4 linked regions of the Neodiprion lecontei genome follow. The protein of the gene in region 2 interacts with the protein of the main gene of each other region in a biochemical or structural test. Links are inferred from orthologs where the notes say so. Each region holds a gene or a part of one and is shown on either strand. Other genes may lie near its edges.

Region 1 (6,440 bases), about 10 Mb from region 2:
CAGTAGCCTTGTATTCTGTAGATTTCATTTGAAGTTCAACCCCATATCCTGATAAACGCAACTTCTTTTCTGATCGATTCTAAAATTAATAATGTTCAATAAATAAATTTAGCAGAAAGTAAGATAGCCTTAATTTAATTTTCCTTACGTTTACATAGTGGCGCAAAACATAATCAATTTTCTTTTGTTCAGCCAAAGACTTCAATGTACTATGGAATTCGCTAAATTCCGCTGTTCCCATTTGACCATAAAGAATCACAGTCTTATCAGATTGCTCGCCACCAGGGTAATGATGATCCACACTATAAGTGTCTATTTCTACTTCTGCCTGCTGCAAAGCATGAATGTTGAACAGTTGAGTGACGAATAAATTCCAATGAATATATCAGGCAATATAAGAAGAAAACCAACCAAAGAGGAATTCAAACTACAATATCTTACAAGAGTGTGATATCAGGTTTTCAAACATATCTCAATCTGAAAATACACTTTTGATTATAAAGAAATGTTAAGTTCACTGGGCTGCTATGAGATGATTAAATATATATAAATTATGTACGTATCACAATTTTTCAAGACTTTGTGGTGAAAATTGCACTATTTCTTCTTCCTGTATATCTATTAAATATGTCTACCTTGTTCACTAGATCTTCCAAATCTTTTAACGAACAAGTAAGCTTTCCACCAATGTCCATTGCAACGCTGCAGCCCAGATGCGAAACGTTTCTATTCTCTGCCATTTGATTGAACATTTCAACTCGCGATGAATATGTTCTCAGGGAGAGTCCTAGCTTAAGCACAGCTATTTCAGCTGGAGTTAAGAACTTTTTCGTAGCTGTGATAGCGACATTGTATGCATCTCTTTCCATGGCTATAAATATAATGCGATGAAGAGATTTGAATTGTAAATTTGATCATTTTTGCAGCAACAGATTTAACATGCAGGTTGCTTCCAGTTTGAGGGATATTCATGATATTACAGTTCCTTCTCAAGAAAATGACAAGAAAGATGGAGGCTACACGATGATGGGTATATATAAAAAGTTAATCAGATAATTAAATAATTTGTACACGTAGAGAAATTCAGGGTGTTTTTTGCAGGAAGTCAAGTTACGGATGTTAATCAGTTTGCTCATGGCTGAGTAGTTGTCTTTAATTACAGAGAACATGTAATTTTTCAATTTTACTATTTACAACCATTACGTCATGTTGTTCTATAATATAGAAATGTTAGAATTATATTTGATAATAAATTTAACATGTAGTTGAAATTACATTTAAATCAACTTACCATTTGGTGGCAGCAAATATGAACTGCTCGATATTTCATCGACAAATCCCCAGAAGTAGTCATGACTTTCATCACTGAGATACTCCGCTACCTCTAGTATCAGAGGCGTCTCTTTCCACTTGGCATCGATTAACGTTGTTACATATTTATTGACTTGTTTATCCGCAGTAATTTGGTTTAAGCATAATACGAATGAGTACCAAAGTATAAAAACCCACATCTGTAAAGTTAAAACCTCAGCATTAGAAATTATTCAACTAAATACCTAAAATCTGTCTGGCACGATTGCTACAAAATCACAGGAATATTAATTTCATGAAAATTACATGGAAAAGATAATAAGCGAGCTTCTCACAAACGTTATTTCTTTATTTAAGCAATTTCAGTTGCATTGACTGCAGAGACCCGATATATCGCAAATTAAAAGCAATTTAATTAAAAATGCTTAATAGCACATTATTCTGAACCAAACATTAACATAGAGTTAATTTTATGGGAGATGTATAAGTATTACTCATCACACCTTGCAATATGTAGTCATGACACATTTTCGAATAAATTTGGTCATAGATTAGGTATAAAGAAAGTGCCTGATATAATTAAGCTTATCAAAATTTAAGGAAGCAATAACTTCCGTTTCTTCTTTGGAACATGATAGAGCCATACATCCTCATATTTCTGGATTTTATTATTTATATAAATAACGTTTAAATGAAATAATTGAGAAGTAACTAAGAAAATTTAGCCTGGGAAAATAAAAATACTTTCAAATATTGGCGAAACTTTCAATTTTATATCAAATTGCTAATATGCCAAGATAAGTCTGTTAGAACAAATACGGTACCTTTGAAAATAAGTTTAGTTTTTACGTTATACGTTATGAAGAATTTATTAATGACAACAGCCAATCCATGCAGCGCACGTGCCACCGGGTACTAGTTACTACTACACAATCGTAACTTTGAACAAAACTAGCCTCATACTAGCCTCGTCAACTAAACCACAATTATAACCTGCACGACCACCTTGCGAATTTTCAACTATTTTTCACTACATAACTGGCATGCTGGCACTTTGGTACAAAAGGTAACAGCTTCACCGGTTTTTGACGGCGGAGTAGGGACAGACCACGACTGAAGCAGAAAAGGAACTGAGAGAGCCTACGCTCGGGCACGCTCAGGTTTTTCTTGTTCTCGATCTAGTAGCGCCCTCTGACACGTAATAAATTTTTGTAACTAATTTTCGTGGCGCGTGGTCGGTAAGCCGGCGGTACATGGGCGGTGCGCATGCATAGAGATCTGTGGATGCAACGCAATGAGCGAACAATACTTTGCGGTTCAGCCATGGAAAGGCTAGAAAATTAGAGAAATTGCATTCAATGCAGACTTTTCCTATGATTTAGGGTGCATTCGTAATGTCTATTTGGTCCGGCGGTCCACCGACTAGAGTGTTCGTAAACTTCACTCTGCGGCGGGCAGCTTACAAACCCTGACTGTTGCGTCAGCTACATTCGGATTCACAATCAAAATTAAGTCTGTGGTCAAACCCTTTGTTGCCTCATAAAAAAAATCACTTCCGAGCTGGCCGTCTATTTACTACAACGTTCTGCCTGATGAGCTTTAGAACACGTATTCAGTATTAACATTTCCTACGTCCGCGGTATTAACCGTCACGTTTCGGCACTTCACAGTACTTCGTACAGAGGGTGGAAATGTTGCTTACCGTGGTATCTCAATAGAAATATTTTTTATGGTGATTTTTGACTCACCACGGAAAGTTAAGAGTAATATAAATCTTGTGTCTTGACGGCACGGTTTAACACACGAGTTGACTATTTCAATACTTGCATTTCATTATCGGTACCGTGCCGCGATATAAACAATAATTCGGCCGGCTGTGGACATTTTTACCCATTACCATGGCTAGCGTTTCGTATCAAATAGCAAATTTGCTGGAAAAGGTGATACATGAATATACTTCTACAAATAATAAACTACTTTTGTTACAATTTATGCAATAATTCGCCAGTAACCAAATCAACTTGTCATGCAATGGAGATAAAACTCTCGTTACTTAACCTATTAATTCATTTGCTATAGTCATTGGAATTTATTATTTCCAGGCTATCAGAGCAATTCGTGAAATCAGTTGCGTCTTTTATCATTAATAAATTATTACATTACGTAGATAATATACATCAAACTTCCTGTTTAAACATGTTATTCTAATTCTCTGTACGTCAAGTTTTCCAAAACAAAGAGGACCAATACCTTATGAGTCAATAATTTTGAAAAATATCGTTATAATACTCAATCGTTTCAGAATTAAATTTCAACTATTTCTTTAATGAATAAATATCATCATTGGATAAGACGCAACGAACTCTCTCAATCTACTTAAGGTTATTGGTCGACTTTCACACTTCATTTTTAAGCTGACTTCGAATAGTTGTTATTAATACAGGAAGATTCACAAATAACCACTGGTTGTATGGTTGAAGGTATTTTATCTTCATTTTAGGCTCTGAAATCGAACAAATGGTCACTTGCGAACCTTGCCGTAAGAATAGCTGCTACTTGAACTTAATTCGAACATCAAGTACACACACTGAATTGTAAAAACAGGGGATTTGTCAGAAACTCGATATTTTACTTGGGCTATTACAGTTTATACCAGCATACTATCTTTATTAAACCTCAATCATCGATCATTATAGGCTAAAGATTCTAGTCATACTCTTAAAACATTAGTCTGGGAAAGCTGTGGTGGAAAATGTTCTTTATGAAAACAGTAAACTTTAACCAGTTAAAATATTGTGTAATCCATAATGAATTTTACAATTTATTTCTTTGACTCTATTAGTGCACAAGACAAGATATGTATATAACTCAAATTAATTGTCTGTTCACTGTTGAAAATCCGAATGACTTTCTTACATTATCCATTTAGGGGTCTCATACCTGATAAGGCATTTTACATAATTAAATTTATTTATCTAGAATTGTTTTGATTCTTTATACTATACACGAGTGACATTGTAATATGTCAAGTCATGGGTCGTTTCGATATCGGGTCAATTGATATTGATGCTTCCTATTGTGAGATATATAGGTCTATATTAATTTTTGTTTTAGATGACATCCAGCGACAAGGATTTTAGATTTATGGCAACGAACGATCTAATGACTGAATTACAAAAAGATAGTATAAAACTTGATGATGAATCAGAACGAAAAGTTGTCAAAATGCTTCTCAGATTGTTGGAGGATAAAAATGGAGAAGTGCAAAATCTTGCCGTTAAATGGTATGTCTTTGATAATATCAGTCATGGACTGAATAAAAATCCATTCCACTCAATCGATCTCAATTCACATAAAATTATTATAATTCACAACCAACTAATAAGATAACGAAACAACCGAAATTGATATTTTAATTACAATAGTTTAATTCCGACACAATTTGATAGAAATTTGGCATGAAGACGTTTGAATGAGAAAATAAAGCGATACTGAAATTAAATCAAGTCAAAACTGTAGATCGTAATAATAATAGAAATCTTGTAGAAATTTACATTTTCTTTACTTTCAGTTTGGGTCCTTTGGTCAACAAAGTGAAGGAATATCAAGTGGAGACAATTGTCGACGCTCTCTGTGCCAATATGTTATCTGATAAAGAACAACTCAGGGATATATCGAGTATAGGTTTAAAAACCGTTATTTCGGAGCTGCCGTTAGGATCAAATGCACTCGCAGCTAATGTTTGCAAGAGGATCACAGGTCGCCTTAGTAATGCTATTGAAAAGGTAAATAGTAGTGAAAATATTATTGGATTAGTGATTTGACTAATCCAAGTACAGAAATATTGTCTCTTTGAAATATGTTCCGCTTAATACTCCAAACTTTATTCTAGCAAGAAGATGTACCTGTACAACTCGAGGCTCTTGACATCCTTGCAGACTTGTTATCTCGATTCGGAGCTCTCCTGCTAACTTTTCATCCGACAATTTTAGCAGCTCTGTTACCACAGCTGTCTTCTCCACGACAGGCTGTAAGAAAGCGCACTATTGTAGCTCTCAGTCACCTCGTCACATCGAGCAACAATCATTTGTATAACAAACTTTTGGACCATCTTTTGGATGGACTCACGTCTCAAAAAGTTAAGAATGTTATTCGAACTTACATACAATGCATTGCCTCGATCTGGTTAGTACATTTTCACTATTCTAAAGTATACATTTTTTTACTGTGCCTTTCGGTAAAGATTTAATGTATAACGCAATTTCCATGTTTCAACGTATTCGCATCGTTACAGCCGTCAAGCAGGCCACAGATTTGGAGAACAAATCGAAAGAGTGATGCCATTCATTGTACAGTACAGTAACGAGGATGACGATGAACTAAGAGAGTACTGTCTCCAAGCATTCGAATCTTTTGTATATCGCTGTCCAAACGAGATTACTCCACACATAAACAAGGTATTATAGGTCTTTTTTATATTTGATATCACCAATGACCATCGATATATGTGCACAGAGAATATTTTGTTGAAGTAACTGACCCTGTGTTCAAGAATTTTTGAATCTCATGATCTATCGTAGTTCAAATACGATAGGCGAAATAATCAAATACAATTCATTTTTTGTCAATTATCTTTATCCATGAGGCGATAAACGAGGAAATAGTCATGGAACTTCATTGGATGAAATATTCAGAAAATTCTGGCATCCACAGGGCATTAACACTATTCCTTACTCATTTACTGTCGAATTTTTCATGCTTCAACAGCTTTTGATGAATTTAACGACTAGTAGCAGGACAGAATTAAGATGAATACGATTTCAAAATGGCAATGGCAATGAAAGAAGTGTAACTTTCGTTTTATATATACCAAATATCCCGATATCATAAATATTTTACTGAACGGGTTAGGGAAAAATAATCCTTTTTATTGTGAAAAGGAAGAGATATTCATTTTAGTTTCAGCTAATTTTTCATCACTTTCAATATGCCATAAAACATTCATTGTCATGTCTATAAACACTGTAATTAATCAAATGACTGCAAAGTGGTTAACTCAGATTTGTTAAAACTTGAAAACCAATTTCAGATCATCGAGATTTGTTTGTCTTATATAACATATGATCCAA
Region 2 (9,845 bases):
CTAATCCCATGGACTTAGTGCTGTGTACACACCATTCATTTTTACATTCCTCAATTTTCAGTTATCTCACGTTCAAGTATGGTTAAACAATTGAGAATATCCTTACTAATTTAACTAGATCAAATCAAATATTATTTCATTGACGACCCAAATTGTACCTGCTATGTTACCTACTTACATATCATCCTAAAAATTGAATCTAACTACCGCGTATCGTTTAATTATGGTTGCAAATTACGATAAAACATCAGTGCGTACTTATTTATTTATTTGCTAAGGACATTTCTTTCTTTCTTCTCTCTTTCTGTTTCATCGCCGTCTTGTTTAGAATCTGATAAAACGTCTCTAAATCGTATCTCGCATGACTTCCATTTGGATTTTGCAATACTTTCCATTTCCCCAGAACAGGCGAAATTCGATTACAATCCAACAACTTCCTCACAAAAATCTTATTACGGTCCTTAAGCATTACACGATGATCATAATGAAACGAAAGAAAAACCATCGCAAAATAAAGATAAATTTCTTTGCGCAACCCTAGAAGATTAGAAAAAAAAAAATCACAATAACAACAGGAGGATTTGTGGCTATTAAAATTCGAATACACTACAATAAAATATTTTATTAACATTACGTAATTATCGATCAATCAAGAACAAAGTAGAATAAAAATCAGAAAAAAAAATAATTACAATTATGCCAAGAAAATATCTGTAATCCTTCATCTTGAATATGATCCATGAAGTTTTCTCAAACCAAAGAAGTTCACATGTTTACCTTTTGGTGGGAAAAAAAAAAAAAAAAAAAAAAAAAAGAAAACCGGTAACGCACAGCGAGCTTACAATCAATTTACAACAACAGTGATAAAAAACGTTGTTCGTAAATTACCAAGGATTGTTTGATAACAAAACGAGAAAAAAAACAGGTGCCCGATATGATGCAAGTATTTATCAAAATTATCTATAGATAGAAGATGCGTTTCGAGTCTGTTCAGCTAGTTAATTTAACAGGTGTACGCATCTAATAAAATATAAAAAAATACTGAATACATAGGAAAAAAAATCACGCGTGTCTCGAAGATTACGACACGAGCAAACAATCATAAAATTTAACGTAGAAGCAAAATTGCATTTGCTCCTTCTTCCATAAACAATACAAATCGATAATTGGTACTTAAATTGTTCATTTAATTTTAAACCACAAGGTTTGTTCTCCGGCTGTCATTAGTTGCAAATTACGTTTATAACCGAATAAATTTGAACTATGAAAGAAATTTATTAATAATATTTTATAAAATCCATGTTTCTTTCTTTTTTTCTCTCTTCCTTCTTTTTCTTCATTTTTGCTAAATGCGATCGGTCGGACAATTATTTCATACAGGGCCGAAAGGAGGGGAGGGGGCTTATGTTGTATACAAGAACTTTGTGTGCGACGTAAATAATAAATATTGTAACGTAGATACAACAGCAGCAGCAACAATGACAGATGCGTACGGCAGAAGTTGTTTCTCCTGTTTTAAACAGCTGCTACTTTGTTGTCTCACTTAGGCAGATCATGCCAGGTAACTGTACGTATCCTTTTGTCCTTCCGTACGTTCTAGATATTCCTTTTCTATTAAAATGTCTATACATTTCTGCGAATGAGAGAAATCAAAGAAATGAGCGAGAAGATGATAAGCTGTGTACATCCGTCAAAGAAGATTGTATATTGAAAATTTACAAATCCTTGAAATCAACTTAACCCTCACCTTAATAACGTGCACCCTCGGTTTGAATCTCGCACTGAGCTGGTTTAGTACTTCGGCGACGAGTTGCTGGTGCTTTAGGATCTTACGCATTTTCATAATTCTTACAATCGCGGCTTGAATTAACAGCTTGCGATCTTCTTCTATGTGCTTGTGGGTCGTTTCCTGTTCAACCTTCAATTCCGTCTTCATTGGTATGTTGATATTTACCCTTAATTTTTTGCTGCAATTAAAATTATTCGATAGTTGGTCAATAATGAGTTCTAAGCCTTCAAGTTTTACATGTGAAAAAGTACGAGATTTACGAATTCTGGACAATAAGGTGAAGGAGAAATGTATTCACTCACTTTTTATATGCTGCAAATAGTTCGATGGTTGACGATGGAGTTAAATTAGTTTCATCTTCGTGTGCAGGGACAGTTAAAAGCTTCGCTTTCAACAAAATCTGTATAACCTGTGTTACAAATAAGAAATAAAGCAATTAAAAAGATGGAGCAAAGCACGATAAGTCAGGAAATTTATTTAAAAAAATCTATGACGTTAAGGACCTGCACAAGAAAATCCATTTTGATTTGCGTTGCGTCATGAAGTTGTTGCATGGTCCAAAGTGTAGCCACATTATACTGCAATAGAACCGCCATTTGGAAGGTCGAAGCTTGCAGAGTATACCTGTAAATAAAAAACGAAATTAGCAGAGATTGAGAATTATTATAAAAAAGAAAAAGAAAAAACAAAGCCAGCGATGCAAGAGATTAACAATAAATTTTCACCTGTTCTTAAAACAGTTTGTGTGCAATTCCCCTTTGGACATGTTGTACAACCAATTCAATTTTCTCCCACTGTGCTGAGAACTATAGAAAGTGGTAAACCTGTGCACAGATCTTTCCAGCTGCGAAACAAAACCAAATGCGTTGCATAGATTGTTCGGGACACGTACATTATTACCTAAGTATGCAAAAAGAACTAGTACCTCTGTGGGTAGAGAAAATGTAAAAGATTGCTGGAACGGCCAGGAACCGGACGACAGCACCTGTATACTAAAATCGATGTCCAGAAGTTCCGTAGAATTTATCAAATGCCTTCGAAATTGTTCGTTCAAGTCTTTCGACACTCCGATATCCTACAGGACGATAAATTTTCAATAAAACAAGGTAAAATAGTAAAAAGTGGAATATAATCTGTCAACGTGATTACGTATAGATACCTGGAACATGCGCTGTAGTTTAGAAGTGTATTCGAATCCGCAAGCTTGTTTCAGCTTTGAAATCATTGACGCTTCAGCGTCGTCGCTGGCAGACATGTGCTGCACGAGCCGTTTGGCAAGCATTTTACTGTAGAATTTTTGGAATACATCTTTGTCTTCGATATATTTGAAAACTACCATCTACACGAAGAAAGAACATTATTTTAACCTCGCTGTTTCATTTGATGATAAGATCGCGAGTTAGATGATGTTACACTTTGCTATTAGTTAGATAAAACTTACAACTTGATTAAGTGTATCTTCGAGCTCTGCCTCTTCCGGATTCTTACTGCTCTTCTTGAGTAAAAGGTCGCAGTACTTGGCCAAGAGTTCTGGCGATTTGCTACTGCTATTAGCAGCTCGTGTAATAGAGTTGCTGTTAATGAACCGTCCGCAAGCTTTGTCCAGAGCAGCGACAAATCCACTATCATTATTAAACGCAACCAATACCAGCGCATTATACTTCTTGTGAACTTCCAAGATAGTGCTCACATATATTTTAGGATCCTGCACTAACAACATGGTAAGTATAAAGTTCTGAAAAATAATTTCCATAACCGTACATAGTAATGATTAATAAGCTCAGTTTCATGATTCTCTCAATATTTGTTTTCTTTTTCTTTCTTGCAATATAAATCCAGGTAATCGTAAGTCGCTTCTAAGAAAGAGACAAATAGCAACACTCGTTCATCAAACATTTTCCTATCGAAAGACCCGAAACTTGATGGCTAATTTCGTGCAGTTATTAAAGTTTGATCGGTAAATTTACATACGTTAACCGCAAAGTCGCCGCACTTGTCGATAGCAGCTAATCCCTGACTAGCTATGTGACTTTCGAGAAGATTGCGAAGCTCCCCAAGACCATTCGGTATCCTGGCGACAAGCATGTACATTCGACCCAAATCGACATTTTTATCAGCGTCCAAAAGATTTTGGAATTCTGCATGAAATATGTCCAAATGTTTCTCGATGAGGACCTTTTCGCAGGTTTTTGCTAGACGCTCATGTGTCGTCTGGTGCAAATACACCCTGACTCTTTTCTCTTCCTCCAGGAGCCTCTGCTCAGCCTGTGAAAAACGAAAATATTTGTATGAACATCCCACTCCTTCTTCTTGGCGTTAGTTTCGCTATATGTTCGTCAAACACCTTCTTCATATACTCTGTGACAGGATTATGTCGTAGGAATTCAGTGCTTTCGCGTGTATAAAAGCGTTCAGTGTCATCAAGAAAAACATTCTCAAACGAGTCCTTGTAGACGGACAAATTCTGCCCTTTGGCGCCCGGATCCTCCTCATTTAGACCCAGCTCAACATAGCAATTAATCACTCCGCTGACAAGACTTGTGTTTATAGTCTCACCGTTTCTCTCTCGTTCTATAAGTTTGAGCACCGCGTTGGTTACCTGATAAGTAGTGGAGAAAAGTGGGTAATTTGACATCGAAAATACGCTGATTCACCTCATTTGTTTTACCTGCTTGTTCAAATGTTTGAATAAATTATCCCTCCATGTGACCAACGCCAGCTGATAGATCTCACAAATTCCTTTTCGACCTTCCTCGCACTCTCGCCTCACCCAGTGACGGTTTAAATACGCACAGACCCCGTTCAGGACTTTGCTGCTGAATTGATACTCGTCCCATTGTCGAGTGTAAAACTTCAGCACATCCTCATCCATCAGGTCGACTCCATGCTAAACGAGGATTGAAATCAGGCATTGAATATCGCAAGAATAGAGCAAGAGAAAACTGGATAAGGATAACTAATCGGCGTCTCGCACCTTCAGTAAACTGATGAGATAATTCCGCAGAAAGTCTCGCAAACGTTTGTACAATTCCAGCCCAACTAACTGAGCGCCGCCCGATATTTGACCCTTCTTACTTTTCATCGACGTCCTGTTGTTCAACTGCTGATGTACACTCGTGCAATAGTTATACACGTGTCTGTGTTTTTTCACATCAGTTTTACAGTTAAGCATAAAATACATTATGTAAAATTTTTGATAGATTCTTTTTTAGGTATCACAAGCTGAGTGTCAAAAACATTTTGAAATATGTCTTTCAAGTCAATTGTTGATATCTAAGGATACGTATAGAGCTCCATGTATCTTGGCTTGGGCATGCATTGCCGGTTGTAAACCTGCTCGATGCCTTCTCTCAGGTCGCCCCAAATCTGGTCGAGATCTATTTGCTTGAGACCCTGAGGACCAGTAGGATGGCTTCCGGTGCCACCGGTACTTCTGTGTCCAGACATTTTATTCCCAAATTAATGTCTGACCAGCCTCACTCTAATTACCTGCTACTTGAATAACTCTGGAAATGAAATAAGAAATGCCACACGTTCTTTTGTAATACTCAACTGTGACTGGCGATACTAATAATTTGATGGAGATAAAAATCGCACGGCAATACAAAGAAAGATGTTATGTTGGTGCTATTATTTGTGGTAAAATTATGTATTCCAGCCGCAGAGGGCTTATCTAGATTTCTGAACACGCTGTTTCAAATAAATACAATAGATTCCAGATGAACGAGGGACTGGTTATCCGCAGATAAGATGCGCATACATAGATACGATTGACGTGTGAAATGTGGGAGAAGAGTTTTGTTGTGCCAATCTTAATATCTCAAACAATCTTCTTTGTTTGAGGGTTCTTTCTTGTCATGTAATTCATTCGTTAATATTTTTGTTGAAATATACGTCTTAGAGGTTTGAGAATCGTTTTTAAAAATGTTACAGCTCCAAATCGGCTGTGTGTAGCAAATAAAAGCCTAGTTATATGTTTAGATTGGAATCCAAAATTCGAAGACTATCAGACCAATCAACGGTTCTGCTAATATTTACCAGAAGATACTGTAGTGTGACCGAAACGCGGATTAACTCGTTAACGGAAATGTGAATCCGAACATAAAATGCAGAGCAATGGTGACAGAAGGGGGTTAATTCCGTTAGCGAGCAAATGGTAACTGGGGTAACCCGATTATGCGATAGAAAGAAACGGTGAAAGAATAATGCGAGAAGTGAAGAAGAAAACAAAAAGAACTAAGAAATTGATACTACGCTTGGTAAAATTTTTGCGAAAAATACAAAGCAAGAAGTGGATTCGGTCGATAGAACGAAACGTAAGAACCTACGCGAAAGGTCCCATTGTCTCTCCTCAATGCCATTTGAAACGAAGGAAACAACATTTTTTTTTCTTCCTCTCTTTCTCAAACTAGAAATCTTATCTCGGAGACAAGGAAGGTTTACTCACCTGGCGCTAAGTCACCACCGCATAACAATATGTGAGCCTTGCGTTGAAAAGCGAAATATCGTGGATTTGGTGCGTCTGGTTGGAAAGCACGGACGAGAATTTGAACCACTATATATGTATACACGAAAGAGGATTGAATATCTGTCTGAACGAATACGCAGTACGTGTGGGTTAACAAGTCGGTTATGATACTGAGTGTGCTCCGTGCTTTTCTCCGTTTTCTGACAGGTTAAGTCACACTGCAGCCAACTTCAAGACTCTCGGCTCGCTACAGAGAATCTGAGATCACTAGATTATCCTTGGGACAGAGAGCTTGGGATATCCTCGGCTGGCGTTGAGCTGGCCGTTCGTTGTTTTCGATCGAGGGTGACTGCGGTCATCGGACTATTCGACGCGCGTTCGACTTCCAGTTATTCACTTTTACCCACTAATTATTATGTGTTCTGTATTCAGTATTTATCGTTCAAGACGCCGAACTTGCGCGACTCTGGTGGCTACCCAATTATAATGACGATAATGATGGCGCAAAATTTTCAATCGATCTTATATAATTACTCAATTTTCTTTGTATCGGCTGCGAACTGCATACCGTCATTATAAATAAACGCGAAACCTCAGGATAAAAACGCAAACGGACAATTTGTAGCACAGCGGTTTCGACCTGTTCTCAACTACGTTAACTCGGAAGAATATTCGCCTAAATGTTCATTTGCATTCACCTACGTCATCGCGTGATCCGTTCCACCATGTTGTCTAACAAGGTCGAACGCAGCGCATGCGGAAAGTTCTCGAATTATGAGTCACTCTTCTTGGCCGACTGAGCTGAGCTCTCTCGATAACTTCAGCCTGGTCGTAGATAATCAAAAGTCGTAACTCGGTGTTCGATACTTGTGCATGCGCTGAACCTCTGCTTGTGTGTTATGCATGCATAGGCTAACACACTTCTCTAAACTTAAACGCACCATATGCACCATATATGCACTCACAGACCCTGTATCAGTAATTGCCGTCGGCAATTTCTCCCCTCATTGCATTCATGCTGAATAATCCGCTTCTCAATGTCCAGTGACCAAGTAACGAATCATTTATTATGCACATACAAGGGCAAATAAACATCCACACAAACTGATCATTCACGGTCGCGTTGGTGCGGGGCGGGAGGCAGGAGAAAGAAAAATAAACTACTGGTAAAAAAACTGAGCAAACTTAATCTCTCGCCGAGAATTGGGGAGGAAAAAATCGAATAAGTATTTTGGATAGCTTCGAGCTTGTCAGTGAGGCTAATGAAGTCAAAGCGAAAAGGAGAGAGCAATCATAGCATCGAATGACAACATGCTGTAATGACAGAACCTGACATTGCGCTAAGCAAAGCTGCAGCCTGCTGTCGTCGACACGCGTTACGTACTTCACCAGTCGTGTCTGAACAAAAACGGGATAAATAATGTGAAGATTAATCGTTATTAGGATAATTATTACTGGCTTATATTGTGACAGTATTAAATGCCGATTAATGTCAGCTGAATACAGAAATACGGTAAATATATCTTGACTTAATTCCAGTCTATGTATTGGTTAGTTTACCTAGCACTTGTACAAATAATAATCATTTGTCGAGAAGATAAACGTGGCACTAAGCCGTCAAAGAGCTGTTCTCGGATAACGTATCTGTAGACGTGGTTTCGCTATTACGAATTTTCCTCAAAGTTTTGGAAAGTCACTCGTCCCTTAATTTCTGCTACTCCGATAGAAAAATTTGAAAAGAAAAAACATCTGAAACGTAAACACCAAAGGTAATAAGCAATAACAATTGTCCGGACACAGTTAAAAAATTCTTTTTGACAGAGAGCATTTTTTACCTGATATTGTGTGCGAATTTGCTAAACGTGAAATCGATCGTAACAAAATTTTAATCGAGCCTAACAATTTCCGGAGGAATGATATTTTATGTCATAATTTCACAAGCTTGAGATGAGTATCTGCATTGGATAAGTTCTTATCACTGAATGGGAATAAACATCACAAACCGAATGTAGTCTGATAATGAATGATAATGCTCTATGAACACGGAAATATTTAACATTCACATTATCCTCCATTCGATTTTTTTGTCACAGTTAATCACAGAATTGATAACCTTTTGATATCTCGACAGTGATACATCCATCATCACAAATTATACATATACATATATAATGTGTTAATGAAATACATTCGCAGATGAGGTGACGTTCGGTGGTGCCATGCGGAAAAAATCAATCAGCTTCATATTCGCATCTCTCTGCGTATGGGGTGTCATAACTTACTTTCTATTTCTTGATCGTCCAATCGGCAAAGAACAAAATAAGGTGAATATCAAGTGTTGATTCCGTGCACGAATTGATAATGAAACTCTGGAAATACACCCCTGATATTGATGACTAAAAATTATTCCCAACTCCAAAATTACAGGGCAACATCGCAGCGAAAATTCGTGATATCGAAGAAAGAGTGAAAGAGCAATTTGCGGAGAATAAAAAACTCATTCAACATCTTCGTGGTAAATTACAGGATCAGAGTAAGCCTCATTTTGAATTGGAATTATTACGGTCAATTGAAGCTCCATCGATTTATTGACGTTCGTGATTTTCAGACGAAGCAGAAAACGCGGAGTCTACTGTCGTGAAGAATGCAGAAGAGGCGCAAAACGCCGAACGAGACAAACTAGAAGCCGCCGAAGAGGATTTGAAAATAGTGAGTTTTTTGTCGTAAGACATTTGAAGGGTCCAGGGGAAAAACTGCTATAGTCCACTCATTCTGATATCAAGAAAAATGGAAATGAATGTTTCCTTTTCCGTAAGAGTACATTCGGTATCGATTCTACTGGCAGGTTTTTCGAGGTGTAATACTGAATTTCTCATCCAACAGTGGTATTTTCGGAAAGTACTCTTTAATGCAATAATAATGGTATCGCTATATCATTTTCAACGAGCGATGAAATATAGCTGTTTCCCCTCTTCACCCTTCATTTCCTAGTTTTCAAACGACTTTATATTCACTATTCAGCAGGTAGACGAAGCTCAGCATGTTGCACCAGAAAAATCACTGACAAATGAGGAACCCGTGATTGCAGTTCTAGTATTTTCATGCAACAGAGTTACTGTGAAGAGATGTCTCGATCAGCTGATCAGACTGAGGCCAAGCGCCGAACAATTTCCGATCATTGTCAGCCAGGACTGCGAACACGAACCGACTACGAATGTGATTCAAAGTTATGGAGAACAACTGACGCACATAAGAGTAAGCTGGTTTATTACCCATCTCAAACTTCAGCCATCCCGAATTTTCGATAATGTACTTGAATCAAACTCCTTCGTCTTTTAAGCAACCAGACCAATCGGACATAGACATTCCTCCAAAAGAGAAAAAATTCAAAGGCTATTTCAAGATAGCTCGACACTACGGCTGGGCATTAAATCAAGTCTTCTTAGAGTTCGGATTTGAGACCGCGATCATCGTTGAAGGTAAGGAGAAGAATCTGGATGCAGCGAAATTTCGTTTCTATGAAAACAAGTTTACTCTGAATCTCATGGATGCGGGTTATCCACTTTTATTTCAGACGATCTAGATGTA
Region 3 (9,881 bases), on a different chromosome or scaffold from region 2:
AGAGATACATAATTACAATTTTAGCACAAAAAAACAATTATCAAATAATTGTTAAGCTCGAGTAAAAAGCTGCCGAACTCATAGCCATGATACGATTTGAATAACCGTTTTTAAAACACAAACATATACATATAGTTTAAACATTTGTAAAGTATTGTAGAGAATGATGATTGAGAATTGTTATTATTATGATCGTTAATATTTGTTCGGTTCACAGTAGTTGCTCAATACTAGAAGAAATTCTCGCACAAATGCTAATATATAATATAGTACCTCTTGTCTTAGGTAAATCCACGAATTACGTTAATTACAATCCTAAATTTTAATGACATTTGCTTTTAATTGCCCCTCCGCAGATCTTATCCTCAAGTTAATTCCCCCAATACATCGCCATATAATTTTTTTTGCATTATATTAATGAGAAATAGGCACGAATTGTGGTAAATGCTTGCAGCTTATGCAGCAATTATACATTATAAGACATCTCACCAGAATATTAATATATGGCGAGCTCAAATTTGTTTCCTTCTTGAATAAATGTTCACTGTTAATCGTGCCGAAATTGTTTATGGTCGTAAAACTCACGTACTGTCCCACTGATTAATCGTTATTTTTCTATTATGTATTACTCGGTAATTGAATGATGTTTCAATTTTTTATCTTGTACATAATATGAATAATTCAATTTCATCCTAGCTGTACGCTCTTTAAAGAATTATGAAAACGATATTACTGTAAGAAAAGAAATCCAATATTGATAATGAATTCTTCCAACGCTCATTATAGATTTACACCTCAGTCATATAATACTAACACATTTTTGTGAAATACGAAATTCAACCCTAAAAAATTGGTAATTTTTCTTTTAGCAAGTTATATGCAAATCAAATCTACATTCCACTACACAACAATATTCGCCACCTATCAATAATTTTTTACCCGCAGTTTCTTTCTCATTTCAATGAAAATATACGATATACATGTACTCATTCATTGTACATAGAAAATTTACCGAAATTTTTTTTTTTTCAACTCCTAATGCTTCTCATTAATTTAGGCACATACATTAGGATCTCATTATTCAAAAACAGAATTGAATTAAAATTGCGTGCAAGTCTCAGTAATAATAATATTAACAATAGAAACGTACATGACGAGAAGTGTAATTCTTTGATTATGTTAGTTATTATTGACTTTATGCTCGCCTCGCTTTCTGTTGTGCCAGGGCAATAGCAACGAAATTTATTCAAATTGTGATAGTGTGTAAAGCACGTAATCTTCCGTAACGGACGATCACATGTTCAACAAAAGCATTACAGATCCTTCATAGATTCCGTTGAATCCGAATTTTATTTTCTATTTTCTGTTTAAGTAACTTTGAATTAGCTGGGATCCATCTTAAATATAAAGTATAGGCTGGAGTGTACGCCGTGTTCGATTCGTGTTATGAACATGTCTCACTCAATACGGTAATTATGAACTTTTAGCAGCCAAGGAATTACTAATCAGTCAATTTTATGCGCATAAGATACGTGACAAGATTTAATATAATAATCTAGGGATGGCTAGAAGGTAGATTCTAAATGCCTGTAGAACCCGACGGTTTTTTTAAATCTTCTTTGATAAATAGTATGTTAGTCGTAGGTATTGCTGTGCAATTTGATCCATTTAAGAGATCATCGTTGATTGTAAAATACTAATATTATTTCTAGCACGGCATTTTCCAAATGTAAATACAAATGAAACAATAAATTTCTACAAGATTAAAAAAAATTCTTTTTATTCTTCCAGGCGATATTCACAAGAGGAATATTCTCTTTCAAATTAACAATCGCCGTATTCAATACCTAGATCCCGATGCGAATTAATTTAACAGCAATAAATAGTAATTGATAAAATTAACGAAATCTATAATTCTTTCGAAAATAATAATGCCCTAATCATTCACTCGTTTCCACTTTCGTTCAAAATAATTCAACAGAATTTATAAAGACAAAGGAGGAAAAAAAAAAATCAATCAACAATTATTGCTTTACTGGCATAGATTGAAAAATGTTTGCTTTCTGAGTGTCCACATTATTAATTCCAAGTCAAATTCTAGCACACAAATCATGCATTTTGTTGTACTCATGCTATAATCTTATCATTGAAGATCACAAGGTCCAGAAGATATGCGTTATTGATTCAATTTTGATACATACATACATACATACATACATATATATATATATATGTATGTATGTATATATGTATATATGCACCAATTCTCGACCTATTCCTATCTGAGGATGATACGTGGGAACAAAATATATATATATATTTCATAAATATATATACATATATTTTGTGCGATAAAATATGACTTTTCAACCCGGCATAGCATTCTAAATACCCAGATAACATCAGGTAAGTCTCGTATATTTGAAACTGATATATTGTAACAAATTTTGCGCTGCTGCGGTTGCCCGGTGAAGAAAAAGTGAATCGGCGAATAGCAAAGACCTTTAATTTTTTTTTTAGAATGTTTTCGTACTGTTTTTTAATATTTCTGGCCATTATTTTCGTTGTACTTTAGTTCAACTTAACGTATGTTAACGTGACATACTAGATCTCAGGGCAGTTTTTGCGGACTTGTCAAGTGCACTGTGTCCCATTTATTACTATCGAACGAGTAAGTGGTTTTGTTCCATCATATATATGATAAGAGCGAAGAAGTCAATCTAGAGAAAAAATGCCAAACTTTGTACATACAAAGTCGCTAATTTTAATTCCTTACGATATTTCTTCAATGATTCGATAAAAAAAAACAAAAAAAACTAGGTTTTACGTTAAAGTTTTGATGAGTTGCACAAGTTTCACATTGAGTTGTGAGAAGAAACGAAATCAACTTTATTTCAATTCAAATAAATGGGGCACAGCTCAGCTCTGTGTGAATGGAAATTTTGATTACAGCGATTTCTCAGCACGGGGTAATTCTGTAAATTGTTCTATAAACTGAGCTGATTAGCGCAGTAAACCTTTAAGATCTTGCTTCCTCTTAGGACATAATATGTACATGCCAATAATTGAATTCTTTCAGAACAGTATGAATCCGTTGATAAGATTTATCCTGAATTGTCCAACAATTGCGTAATAACTTCGATAGCTCCTAATATTCCGCAATTTGCCGTAAGATTTGAATTTTATATTTGTACTTTGCAGTACGTACGACCCACAATCAACAAATATTCATTGTGAAGAACCTAACGCTCATTTTAGAACTCCCTTCACAATAATTTCATGCAGTCTTATCACAATCACACCATGTAATACATGAACATTGTACAGTAGATTGGTTATGCTACCTAATTATAGTATGTACAGAAGTCACATAGAGGCGTCGTCTCGCCCAAAGACGGGAAGACTATTTGGCCTCTACGTCAAAGTCAAGAACCAGCAGTTTGGTTTCCTCGGTACCATTACGACTGCCCACGGCACACACCAGCTTCGTATCGCTTGCTCGAATTCTCCAAACTACACCTCCACTACCCCCACTCTCCAGAGCCACAAGATTTCTTATGAAGTCTCCTAAAATCACGTTTTAAAACAAATATCATTTTACAGTTCGGTTCCAATGCGGTAGCTCTGATATTGTGACATTGCTTTGAGCAAAGAGATGAGACCCACCAGTCTTAACATCCCACAGTTTGACAGTCCCGTCATCAGAGGATGTAATCACAAAGTGACTGTTAAACTGCAGACAGGTAACTGCGGATTGATGTTTGTTTGGCCCGGAAAGAGTTTGCAGACAATGCCCACTAACAATATCCCAAACTTTGACTGTAGAATCGGCATTACCAGATACAAGAATATTGTTACGGAGCTCCATGCCCGAAGTAAGAGACTGATGACCCATCAGGGTGTGCCTACACGCTCCCGTCTCAACTTCCCATACCCTAATGCTCGTGTCCAACGATCCACTCACCACATGGATACCGTCAAACTAAACGAGACAAGAGGAAATAGCAATTACTATTAAATGATGTAATTATACCGCAGCAGCTATTTGCTAAGAACATTTTAAATTGTTTCGGATAATAATACTAAATATTACACCTATTACATAAAGTTAAACTGCAATGATTTCTTCCAAAAGCTCTTACTTGAAGGGAATAAACGCGATTGGTATGTCCTTGCAGTGTGTGAAGGCACTCTTCTCGTTCAGGATTCCATACTTTGACCATATAGTCATAAGCCCCACTGACCACGAGTTTTCCATCATATTGCACGCATCTAACAGCTGCGAGATGTCCGACCAAAACATGGAGACACTCCCCTGTATCAACTTGCCACACCCTTAGTGTAGCGTCTCTGCTGCCACTGACCACCTTGTTGCCATGGAGGTGCATACACCTTACTGTCGATGTGTGACCGTAAAGCGTATGTATGCACTGGCCCGTCTCTGCGTTCCAAACCTTTAAGGTGCGGTCTGTGCTCCCACTGATTACTGTAGTACCAGACATCTGTGAGGACCAGACACCACCCGTATGCCCAACCAGTGTTCTTAAACACTGTTGACATAAAATTGATGTGGTTTTATTTTTATATCGAGGGTGCTTGCTTCTGCGTGTTTTATATGGAGCAATGTTCTTATTTCATAGCGGGTACGTCTATGAACATTATTTAGATGCTTTAAAAATGGTGCAATAGAAATGAATGTGAAAAAATCCCAGTATTTTTAAACAAAGTAATATCGCAACATTCAACATAGGACTAGATAGGATGTGATACAATATCAAACATAAAATTTTGTAATTTATAACAAAATCGTACAGAATACTTGGGTCTAACAAAATAATCATATGAATTTTACCGAATACAGTATTTTATAAAGTAGGTACTTGACAAAGAATAATTTAAAATTGTTACAAAGTACGGGAAATAGAGTTTAAAACATTTGAATTACCTTTCCTGTAACAGCAGACCAAACTTTGAGGGTATTGTCGTCTGAGCCACTGACAATTCGATTGCCAGAAAACTGGAGACAGGTAATGACATGATCGTCGTGACCCTTTAAGACTTTGGGTGTACGAATCGGTTTAGTTCTCCAATTCATTTTTATGTTATGCTGCCTCATATACGCCTGCTTCCATGGCGAGGAGCAACTATTTGAATTTCGACTATTTTTACGTTTTGGCGTAGGTAGATCTTTAAGGTCTTCTATCCCGGTTGCTCGGCATTTTTCTTTCCACAATAGATTGTCATCTGCAAGAAAGCGCCAATTTCTGCATGTTTGCGCGGCTCGCAATAAATCTCTTGGTTCTAAGAAGGCTAAGACTGACAATGCCAACTCTTTAGGGAGTAACGAAATAAAGTCCCTCTGAAATTGTGGTTCGATGACTTGCATCATATGCCGAACTTGGGTTGGTTCGCATCTTTCTATTAGCTCATCAATAGCCAACATCCTTTCTGCATTTGACCATCTCTGTAACAATTTATTTTACTCAAAGGTCAATTGTCATTAATAACATAAACTCCACAGTCTTCACCACTTACCTGAAACTGTAATAACCAACTGCTCATTTCAGGTGGGGGATTGTCTCGGGTCGGAATGATGCTTCTCACATGCTTCCCTTTGTCGTCAACCCGTTTCACAACCCTACAAAATTAGTTAAAATTAAAAATAGTTTACAATGATCTAACACAATTATATCTCCCTGTTGCAAGCAAATTGGCATTGTTAAACAATTGTATGTACCATATTGAATTTCAAAAAAACAAAAAATGTAACAAGTTCAAACTACTCACATAATATAAGTCTTTTCCTCTGGGTTAAGCTTTTTACAGGGCAGTGTAGACTCAGCTTCGCTTTTACGTTTCCTCTGAGGCTGTACTGCGTCTAGTGGAACACATGTGTGAAGTATGGGACTAAGAGGTCTCGGTGGTAATGTCGGCGATGATTGCAACGATAACGAATGGCAGTCGTTGGCATCATTCTCTTCTCCACATTCGGCATCGCAATACATGCCCCCATCACTTGTCTGAACATTGATGAAAAGAAAGTTTTAAATAAGCAGAGTAACGACAACATACTTTTGTATTTACAATGCTCTTCTCTTATCTACCTCGCTTTCTTCATCCATACTATCCTCTTCTTCTTCCTCGCCTTCTTCTCCATAATCCTCAGACTCCCCATCGTGCACAAGTGCGGATTGCAGAGGATCTAGTGTACTTGGTCCTGGAACACCTTCAACACCTTCAACGGGACTAGGGCTTGTACCTCCTGGTTTTTCTCCTCCTAACGCCTTGGACGACGACGAAGGGGTAGACATCACTGAGTTCTGGCGTTATCACAGGCCCAGAAAATTGAAAGCATTATATTGGAGTGAGATTCTCTAGGTCAAACAGTCGTCATATTAATCTTTTGCTGTGTAATGTTTGGACGGTAAAAAGATGTTTCATACTAAAATAACATATCGAGCTAATTTTGCACAGCCACTGCCGCTAGAGAATTCTTTGAGATAGAGTAAATATTAAATGAAAGTTAAGAGCTCCAAATCACTGCTATTAAAAATGAAAAGCTTCCAATTTGCAATATTGCTCCTAATTTGAGCCACAGTTATGAAAAGAAACTTGTTTATGCTACACCTGTGATCGACGACAAGTATGGTCATGATATTGGTTCGAAATGAAATGAAAGCAATTGATACATAATAATAATCAGTCGGAGGTATTAATGAATTGAATTAGATTTTAATGGAGGTTAAAGAAAATATGTGAAAATGGTAAGAGAGGTGAATTGAGGTGTGTGATAAAAATCACACGGATGAAATACACGGATGATAATTCGAACTACAATTGAGGTAAACCCTAACCTTGAAAAAGAGCACAAGTAGAACTTGCCATTTTGAAGATAGCCTTTAAGAGAAAATGTAACAAAGGGCCGGTTTGCCACACCCTGGGAAGCAGGGAGCGATTTACCACTCGATAAAATGGCTAGATGCAAAACGGCGGTGAAAGAAGTGTGGAAAAAATCAAATAGGTTCATACATGGTCGACTGATTTCCACTTCTCTGCCTTCCTTCAGCGGTACGGGTTTATTCAGTGTCTCGCCTCGCGCGAGACGTCCCAACTTGTTCGGGGTTGTAATTAATTTTCTATCAACTACACACGGCACGCATTTCTCGTATGGTACACCTCGGTTAGGTTATAATCTCGCAAATTTATTCCCCACAATTATTATTCCACCACTAAACTCTGCAAATAAAAACAATAAACGCTGATAAACACGGCGTAGGATCCATCGACGAACCGAAGTTGTTCCCTTCGAACTCCGTGCTTCGCACGATGCCTTTGCACATGCGTTTACTTCGGTTAAAAGACCACGTTCTCAACACACTCTAGCCGCGTTTCCACTGATCTCTGTACTAACTGGATGGCTGACTAGTGACTAGCGACCTAGGCCCTTTTGATTCGATCAGAAGCAGACGAAATCGATACCAGCGCCTCAATAGCCTTAGTGGAACTAACGAATCACGTGGTTTATTGCGTATGTCATTGGTTAAAGTGACAAGACCATGTGACTAAATCTGTTTCTGATAGACTATCACCCGGGTGACCCGTTAGTTTAACTTCGGGTATTGTAGCGCTAGTGTCGGTTTATGATTTGGGGCTCACGAGATCAGTGCTCATTTCCACATCTCTACACGACTAGTTCACCCGGAACTCCGTGAGAGGACGCCAAAGCTGCGTTCAAATGAGATCGCCCAAGGTTTTTTTTGCCTTGATAGTCCCGATGCAGCGGTGGTAGGGTCATGGTAATGGTAGAGTAGGAGTCACCGTCAGTGACGTCAGAGACCTAAATTTTGAAGGTTAAAAATTTGACAGAACAGCAAACTTCTCCAATCGAGAGCGATCGAGGCAGTTTACGCAACGTGCGTTCGATAATTTATTTATGGATAACTGAGCTTTTTTTGCACGTGTATAAAACAGCATTAATATCATCAGTTCAAGACTTTCTTGAATTCCGCATACTTCACTCTGGTGAGCTAAGGTTAGGGAGGAGCCATTTCACAATAAAATGGCAGCAGGAACAACATTACAGGTACTAACTATTGGGAAGGTTTCCTCAAATTTTAAGCCTGGATATTTTCAATTGACCAATTATTCTCGTTTTCTACCCGTATAAATACAGAAAGCCATAGACCTGGTTACCAAGGCCACCGAGGAAGATCGGAACAAAAACTATGAAGAGGCTCTGAAGCACTATGAACACGGCGTTGAATACTTTCTTCATTCAATCAAATGTACACATCATCAGTATTTACATGCCTCAGACTCTCGATTCTTCTTCCAATTCACTTCTGTGGCATGAATAAGTTTTCTCAAATACATATTTGTTGACTTTGTTTTCAAAATGCAAACACTTTATTCAATGTTCACTTCATTCAACTTCGCTTCATTTCACCAATCAAACTTGTTTTCAGATGAGGCTCAGGGAGAACGGGCCAAGGAAAGCATTAGGACAAAGTGTTTACAATACCTGGACCGAGCTGAGAAGCTGAAGGAATATCTAAAGAAGGGAAAAAAGAAACCGGTCAAAGATGGAGAGAGTAATTCTAAAAGCGATGATAAAAAGGGTGACAGTGGGGATAGCGACAGTGACAGCGATCCAGAAAAAAAGAAATTACAAAGCAAATTGGAAGGGGCAATAGTAATTGAGAAACCACAAGTAAAGTGGAGTGATGTCGCAGGGTTGGACCTTGCTAAGGAAGCTCTAAAAGAGGCTGTTATCTTGCCCATTCGTTTCCCACATCTGTTTACTGGGAAACGTATCCCATGGAAAGGCATTCTGCTCTTTGGCGTAAGTTTCAGACCCAAAACCCTTCAATTTATGTTATATGTATATTTTTGTATCATTTGTTATGTATTCCCACTATATATGTTTATATTTATTCCAGCCTCCTGGTACTGGTAAATCGTATCTAGCAAAAGCAGTAGCAACTGAAGCAAACAACTCCACTTTCTTGTCTGTATCTTCATCAGACCTGGTCAGTAAGTGGCTCGGAGAATCTGAGAAGCTAGTGAAGAATCTATTCGAATTGGCACGCCAACGCAAGCCTAGTATAATATTTATTGATGAGGTAGATTCTCTCTGCTCCTCAAGATCAGACAACGAATCTGAATCTGCTCGCAGAATAAAAACCGAATTTCTAGTTCAAATGCAAGGTGTGAAGATAAAATTCAAAGAGCTCAGTTTTCCCAGTTTCATTCAGGGTTTGAATGTAACGCACCCTTTGTTTTTCTTCTAGGTGTTGGGACTGACAACGAGGGAATTCTTGTTCTCGGTGCAACCAATATACCCTGGGTATTGGACTCTGCAATCAGAAGACGTTTTGAGAAGCGAATTTATATTCCCCTTCCAGAAGAGCATGCTCGTATGGTTATGTTCAAACTTCACCTTGGTAATACCGCTCACGTCCTGTCCGAGGATGATTTTAAGAAATTAGCAGCCGCAACTGATGGCTACTCGGGAGCTGACATAAGCATTATTGTTCGTGACGCACTTATGCAGCCTGTGAGGCAAGTTCAAACGGCCACCCATTTCAAAAAAGTGCGCGGACCTTCTCCGAAAGATCCAACAATAATTGTCGATGACCTTCTCACCCCTTGCTCTCCGGGCTCACCTGGTGCCATCGAAATGACCTGGATGGAAGTTGAGGGAGATAAGCTCTTCGAACCTCCAGTCACTATGGTAAGGATGAGTTAGCCGATACCTATAAATTTATTTGCTAATTTTTTCATAGTTCTGTAAACAAAAACATGATGCACAGAATTGTGGGTGTATTTTTTGTCTTTCTATTCAGTGAAATTTTTTAATGATGATTCTAACGACTTTTATT
Region 4 (5,796 bases), on a different chromosome or scaffold from region 2:
ACATTTGATAATCTAAGTCCATCATTTTCAGATTTATTATATGGAAGATGATGGTGGGCAGCTATTGGTGAGCCCAGTTGAGCCTGAAATAAAAAAGGCAATGTATCGCGTCATTGATTACTTCGCCAGAGTTCACAAGGTGAAGGCAAAAAAAGTAGATTTAAAAAAGATGAAAAAGAGTACTGACCTTTGGTTGGCAAACATGAGTACAAAGGATGCGAGAGGATTTGCATATGAATTGTCCAACCGGACAGGAGTGCTGAATATATGGTGGAAGTTGGCTCAATGGTTCACCTTTATGGGCCCTCATACATTGATCGCATTGATCACTGTACTAGTTGAAAGTTTCGGAATTAAATTCGGGAGCGAAAAACATACGAAACTTATTCAGCAAAGTAGAGATCTTTATCTAGAGTTTAAGGTACAGGACGTTAAGAGTTAATCATTTTAAAATTTCATCCGATTTCCGAACTTTCTCTTCATTAATCATGTAACATTCAAACCTCAATATCACCTTTTTTCAGGACATGCTAGACGACGGCGGCATATTTTTATATCCCACACATCCCACCGCAGCGCCGATGCATCATGAGCCACTGATCAAACCATTTAATTTTTCTTATACTGCAATTATCAACGTCTTGGGTGTGCCTTCAACAGCTTGCCCATTGGGTCTTAATCAAAACGGTCTTCCCATTGGTATACAGGTAATGTATCACATTAAAATCACTGAATTTTTTAGGATTAATTATAAATAAAGGTTCAATTTTCAATCCTGTTGGCGATTTTACTGTATTATCTGTGTTGTGTGTTTCAGGTTATTGGCGGCATGTATCAAGATCATTTAACCCTTGCTGTCGCGGAAGAAATTGGACGAGCATTTGGTGGGTGGGTTCCGCCGCCGCTTATCGAAAACGGTGCGACGATCGAAGTTCCAACAGATATTGCACTGTATACATGATCGTAAAAGCGGCGTGAACAGTAATACATTTTTTATTTGAAATTTTCCTTTTTTTCAACAATATTACAAAACGAAAATAAACTTATTCAAAGAATGTATTCTAAAGACGTAACACAGTACATTGCCATTGAATACCTCGATTCTTGAAACAAAGTATGAAATCTACCTATATTAGCAACAGGCCTAAACAAAAGATTTTCCAGTCTGAGGATACTAATATCTATTGTAATATTCCAAGTATTCTACAAAGCTAAGATAATATTTATATATATATATATATATATATTTATGTACCGAATAAATCAATTTTTATTCATACGAAAATAATGCAACTATTCAGTTCACCATCGCAGTTATCTGTCGATCTATGATTCGTCGTTTCTCAAATAATTAATCAGTTTTATCAAGTGTTTCCGCTTTCCATTAACCAATGCTTCAAGGCCTAAAAAGTCACATCCTTTAACTTGTGACTTTGAGGCTGCGTGAATGGCAACTAACTCCGTAGTGCATAAAACATATAGTCCACAGTCATAGCCATTACTTTGCTGTGGTGTATCAACTTCAAGGTATGATCCCAATCTCTTTATGCCAAAGTAGTCTGCAATACTTGTTGCAAAATTTCTTGCAACTTGACTGTTCATACCTTTAGATGAGTCAAAGTGAAAGCATATCCTTTCCAGCTTAGAATATACAAGTAAGCTCCAATGGGTGCCACCAGGACTTTCCTTATCGTCGCAGTTATTTAATGGAAAGAATATGAATGATCTTGACTTTGCTCTAATGGGTTCTAACAGCATGCCATAATCCGAGGGGTCTGTGAGTTTCAGCAGTTGAGTTAATTCTGGGCTAACGAATAATAAACCTTCGGACTGCTCATGCATTTTCTCACCCAGGTATTCAAAGTAAAATCCAATAACTGCATCATTAATCCAATGTGGCCCTTGCAGGAGCTGCACGTCAGTCTCTCTTAGCAAGCTGTCTCGATAGCTCAAGACAATGCTGTTACTCTTGTCAGTTTTCTTAGACATTTTCAATATTGGTAGCAAATTATCAGATTGCAACTCACCGCCGTACTACCAACCCAATGTCTTACGTTTCGCAGGAATGTTTAACCTATAAATCAGTGATGTGGAGTTCATGGTTAATAAGAGATAATAAGCTAGAAGCATGAATGAAGACTTATATCAGTATACTTGTAAGGTATTCAAACATGAAATCAAAATTGTCATACTGCATTACGCAATTGTCAATCATAATTCAAAACAGCACTGATAACATTGTGGTTCTGAGAAATAAGTTACCAAAAATAATGTGGAGACCGATTCAACCCGCTGTTTAACAGGTACTCATCGCTGAGATAGCCTTAATTAGTCTGTTTGACATCTGTTCACGTATTCATTAAAGTGGATAGGACAATGCACTTTAGTATTGTATGCATGATTGTATGTATTGTACTTTTATGTTGACCTTGGGATTTGTTGACTATGGACAGCACACGCAACTTTGTTTACTGGACCTCACTCATGACTGACCAGACAAATGGTGGCGAGTAGCGAAAATCACGAATAGCGCTGACATATCACAAAAATTCATGTAGTAAATAGATCATGGTAAATGGCATGTAAATAAAAATTTAAGTGATTACAGACTATGTTGCAGAGACCACTTTGGTCTAATCTAAGCGTTAACACCGAGGCGAGCCGTCGAGCTTCTTTATCGACAATTTTTTTACACGGCTGACTCAACATGGCCACGTATCACGATGGCCGACCTAAACAAAGAGTTGAATGAATATCTTCTCAGCAGTAAAAATGAAAAGCAATTCAAAATTGGTATACCCTCGGTATCGATACCGAAACCGTCTTTGGGAAAATGGCTAGGAAGAGGGGAAGAGGAGCCGCAAGAGGAGGCTGGATGGTTCAAAGAGACTAAGAAGGACTGCTGTCCCAGCATGGTCGGTATCACGGTCTTTCGTCATAACCTAGAAATATCATATTTTGAGCCACAGGTTCGATGCAGATATGTGAGAAATTTCACTAAAATTAGCCATTCATATGGCCCAGCAGTATATCGACTATTTTTCATCATTCTTTATCAATCGGATGCATTGTATCACAACTTGAAGCATTCAGTCTTTCTCAGAACTTATTCGCCAATTCCTTATTTTAGACAAGACTGCAACGACTGACTGCCTTTGCTGTATGCTTCTTCATGGGAGTTCTGTGCTTCTGTTTGTCTGCAATCTACATTCCTGTGCTGCTGCTGAAAGCAAGAAAATTTGCATTACTCTACTCCCTAGGAAGCCTGTTCTTTCTGATGAGGTATTGTTTTGTCATTTGAAGTCTTAAGCGATGCTATGCTCAATTTTACCTGAAGTTAATATTTAATTTTCCAGTTTTTAAATGAGCATAGCATTGCTTTGCAAACTTAAATAGGACAATCTTCTCATTTATTGTCTTCTTTCAGCTTCTGCTTCTTATGGGGTCCAATGAGTTATCTGCGATCGCTTTTCACCGCAGAAAGAAGGTGCTTCACTATTTCATACTTTACAACGCTGATCGGCACCCTTTACTTCGCGTTGCATTTACAGTCGACACCGTTCACAGTTCTGTGCGCGGTAATGCAGCTGATAGCCATGCTGTCTTTTTTGGTTAGCCATATTCCGGGCGGTACATCAGGACTCATGTTTTTCACAAGGATGTTCAAATCTTCTGTTAGCTCAACTCTGCCCGTATGAGTGTCGATGAATTTTGTGGTTCAAAAAGGATAAGGTGGCTGTCAAACCAGAGTCTGTAATGAGTTGGAAAACGTATTACAAGTCTAGATGATTCTTTATGCTCAATTCAGACTCAATTCAGCACTGCGTCCTTTCTTCGATATCCGTTTATTTATGTGTTCACATAAGTATAGGATCATACTGTTATTAAATTATGTCAAGTATTTATATTTGGATTCGATCGTTCAATAAGAATTTTAGCTTAAATTGGATGACATGGTAGACAAGGACCCACTATATTCACCAAAGAGGAAATAACTTCTGACGAGAGATTGTGTGAATTTACATTCCTTGTAACTAGGCATAAGTTAGCAAAAGCATCAAAAATTAATAACTACCAATTTTCCGCAGTTACAATTGAAAATCAACTCTGAAATGTTTACTACACCAATTATTATCTCATCACGAGGTTGTAATTACGCATACGCTTCATTCGCGAATTATAAACGAGTGTGGAATGACAAACAACCACACACGATTTTGTATTCTCACAATACGTAGTCTATAAAGTTTATTTCAACAGTTTATTTGTTAAAAAAAAAAAAAAATTTAATCAGTATCTCATAGTTATTCATCTGATTGCGCGTAATCCTCAACTTATAATTCCTGTAGTTAGCCTGTAATTATATGCAATATGCTCAAATCCACAGTGACTCAAATAGCGATAGTGTCAATTTATATTGCTGACAATACTCGAACGTCAGTGCAGAGTTGTTGACTGAAGATATACTCTTCCGTCAACAACAGATTGCTTAAAGATTTCGAACATTTTTTTGCAGCTCAATAATCTTGACTCAGTTGTTTAACAATATCATGTAAAGTGAATGGGATATTTTATCAATTAGATATTTCGTAAAATGAATTTGAACTTGTTCTGCAAATCCTCTTATAAACATTTGCAGTAAGTGGGTCGGGAGGGTCGGAAGCGAGTCGTTCAAAATAAGGCGGAGAGTGCGTCACGCGAGACGTTGGCTTTAAGTTACATATATCGATTGCTGAAAATCGAATTTGAGGGCAATTCGATACATTCGAGTGTTGACGTCACGCGAGCGTGATTAACTGTCATTACTCACTTCTTGCCCTTTGGGTGCGAGGGAAGTTGATTCATCCGGCATCTGAGTTATTGTGTCTAATTTTGGAATCAGATCTTTATTAGTAATTAAACTGCTAGTGGTGGTTGATTGTTTAATTCGCTATCTGAAACAGCGGGCGATGGCTAACAACGGTAATTATCAACGAATTGGTATATCGGGCATTATGAGTAACGATATTTTCACAAGTTACATTAAGGTTATGTTATGGTTACGGTTATGTTTGTTACACAGACAAGGAACACGGCGAGGCGTCCGGTGAGGAGGATTCCGAAAAAGAGGTGCCGGAAATCGAGGATGAAAAACCGGGGGAAATATTGATTATCGATCCGGATACCGAGGTTAGTCAGGTTTACTTCTTAGAACATATACTGAGGCTTACTTTTAAATTACTCTGGCAACGCTGCCCATCCGCCGTTGGCGTCTCGATGTTTATTGGCTGAAAATATGTTTGACGTTGCGAATCGTTTAAAGTAAATTGGAAAATTGGGGCATCATATGCAATTACAAAACCAGCTTCGTCTCACTACCCTCGTTATTGCATTCATTTAACACAATGCCGACTCTGTTTCTTTGAACATTCGTTTTTGAGGTTATGAATGGAACAAATGTTCTAACCATCAACAGCTGAGCCAATTAAAACTCATATTTCATACCCGCCACAGAATGTTTGCGCCTGGAATTCGAAATTTTGATTTGTCGCAATAATATTCAGAAATATCGAGCGATTCATATAAAATGTAAACCTGACTGAAGAATTATTTCTCTCAGTTCAAATTTCTGTATGAAGCTATACTAGCTTGATTCGATAATTGCATTGATTGTACTAAATCACAGAATTACGTGTTACAAAACGAAAAAATTTCTCAAGAAAATTCTTCGCCAAAATTTGAGTAAATTCATTAGTTGTTTTTAAGTCCAGGTATGTAATATTTATCCCATCCTGTATTTATTTGTTGTATAAATGA

The links.
Region 1: the proteins of cullin-1 (region 2) and cullin-associated NEDD8-dissociated protein 1 form a complex in vitro, tested with the Homo sapiens proteins (6 studies listed by BioGRID and IntAct). The link is inferred for Neodiprion lecontei from reciprocal best matches to the Homo sapiens genes CUL1 and CAND1.
Region 3: the proteins of cullin-1 (region 2) and F-box/WD repeat-containing protein 7 form a complex in vitro, tested with the Homo sapiens proteins (3 studies listed by BioGRID). The link is inferred for Neodiprion lecontei from reciprocal best matches to the Homo sapiens genes CUL1 and FBXW7.
Region 4: of the proteins of cullin-1 (region 2) and sentrin-specific protease 8, one has a biochemical effect on the other in vitro, tested with the Homo sapiens proteins (2 studies listed by BioGRID). The link is inferred for Neodiprion lecontei from reciprocal best matches to the Homo sapiens genes CUL1 and SENP8.

Annotation. Positions count from the first base shown.
Region 1 is NC_060263.1:25,787,249-25,793,688, reverse strand, and holds the start of cullin-associated NEDD8-dissociated protein 1, read left to right. Parts: upstream 1-2,911; 5' UTR 2,912-3,209; coding exon 3,210-3,251; intron 3,252-4,425; coding exon 4,426-4,595; intron 4,596-4,882; coding exon 4,883-5,096; intron 5,097-5,203; coding exon 5,204-5,496; intron 5,497-5,605; coding exon 5,606-5,768; intron 5,769-6,400; coding exon 6,401-6,440. Other genes in the region: UDP-glucose:glycoprotein glucosyltransferase, read right to left, coding at 1-79, 149-331, 636-871, 1,292-1,511. UniProt on the Homo sapiens protein: Key assembly factor of SCF (SKP1-CUL1-F-box protein) E3 ubiquitin ligase complexes that promotes the exchange of the substrate-recognition F-box subunit in SCF complexes, thereby playing a key role in the cellular repertoire of SCF complexes.
Region 2 is NC_060263.1:15,794,687-15,804,531, forward strand, and holds cullin-1, read right to left. Parts: upstream 6,924-9,845; 5' UTR 6,237-6,923; intron 6,076-6,236; exon of another isoform or gene 5,828-6,075; intron 5,296-5,827; 5' UTR 5,237-5,295; coding exon 5,073-5,236; intron 4,927-5,072; coding exon 4,764-4,926; intron 4,677-4,763; coding exon 4,458-4,676; intron 4,389-4,457; coding exon 4,134-4,388; intron 4,055-4,133; coding exon 3,761-4,054; intron 3,525-3,760; coding exon 3,231-3,524; intron 3,129-3,230; coding exon 2,949-3,128; intron 2,865-2,948; coding exon 2,715-2,864; intron 2,634-2,714; coding exon 2,515-2,633; intron 2,414-2,514; coding exon 2,293-2,413; intron 2,199-2,292; coding exon 2,092-2,198; intron 1,968-2,091; coding exon 1,748-1,967; intron 1,634-1,747; coding exon 1,553-1,633; 3' UTR 1,252-1,552; downstream 1-1,251. Other genes in the region: alpha-1,3-mannosyl-glycoprotein 2-beta-N-acetylglucosaminyltransferase, read left to right, coding at 8,477-8,581, 8,685-8,790, 8,866-8,966, 9,279-9,512, 9,598-9,736, 9,832-9,845. UniProt on the Homo sapiens protein: Core component of multiple cullin-RING-based SCF (SKP1-CUL1-F-box protein) E3 ubiquitin-protein ligase complexes, which mediate the ubiquitination of proteins involved in cell cycle progression, signal transduction and transcription.
Region 3 is NC_060261.1:2,646,959-2,656,839, forward strand, and holds the start of F-box/WD repeat-containing protein 7, read right to left. Parts: upstream 7,345-9,881; 5' UTR 7,030-7,344; intron 6,375-7,029; 5' UTR 6,312-6,374; coding exon 6,105-6,311; intron 6,021-6,104; coding exon 5,788-6,020; intron 5,639-5,787; coding exon 5,536-5,638; intron 5,465-5,535; coding exon 4,946-5,464; intron 4,551-4,945; coding exon 4,143-4,550; intron 3,983-4,142; coding exon 3,667-3,982; intron 3,568-3,666; coding exon 3,404-3,567; 3' UTR 1-3,403. Other genes in the region: vacuolar protein sorting-associated protein 4, read left to right, coding at 8,060-8,083, 8,174-8,285, 8,466-8,842, 8,940-9,207, 9,291-9,733. UniProt on the Homo sapiens protein: Substrate recognition component of a SCF (SKP1-CUL1-F-box protein) E3 ubiquitin-protein ligase complex which mediates the ubiquitination and subsequent proteasomal degradation of target proteins.
Region 4 is NC_060260.1:34,564,014-34,569,809, reverse strand, and holds sentrin-specific protease 8, read right to left. Parts: upstream 2,551-5,796; 5' UTR 2,429-2,550; intron 2,405-2,428; exon of another isoform or gene 2,263-2,404; intron 2,075-2,262; 5' UTR 1,990-2,074; coding exon 1,327-1,989; 3' UTR 1,025-1,326; downstream 1-1,024. Other genes in the region: fatty-acid amide hydrolase 2-A, read left to right, coding at 32-421, 525-707, 818-961; protein transport protein SFT2, read left to right, coding at 2,724-2,915, 3,131-3,282, 3,428-3,698; protein phosphatase 1 regulatory subunit 7, read left to right, coding at 4,950-4,980, 5,063-5,169. UniProt on the Homo sapiens protein: Protease that catalyzes two essential functions in the NEDD8 pathway: processing of full-length NEDD8 to its mature form and deconjugation of NEDD8 from targeted proteins such as cullins or p53.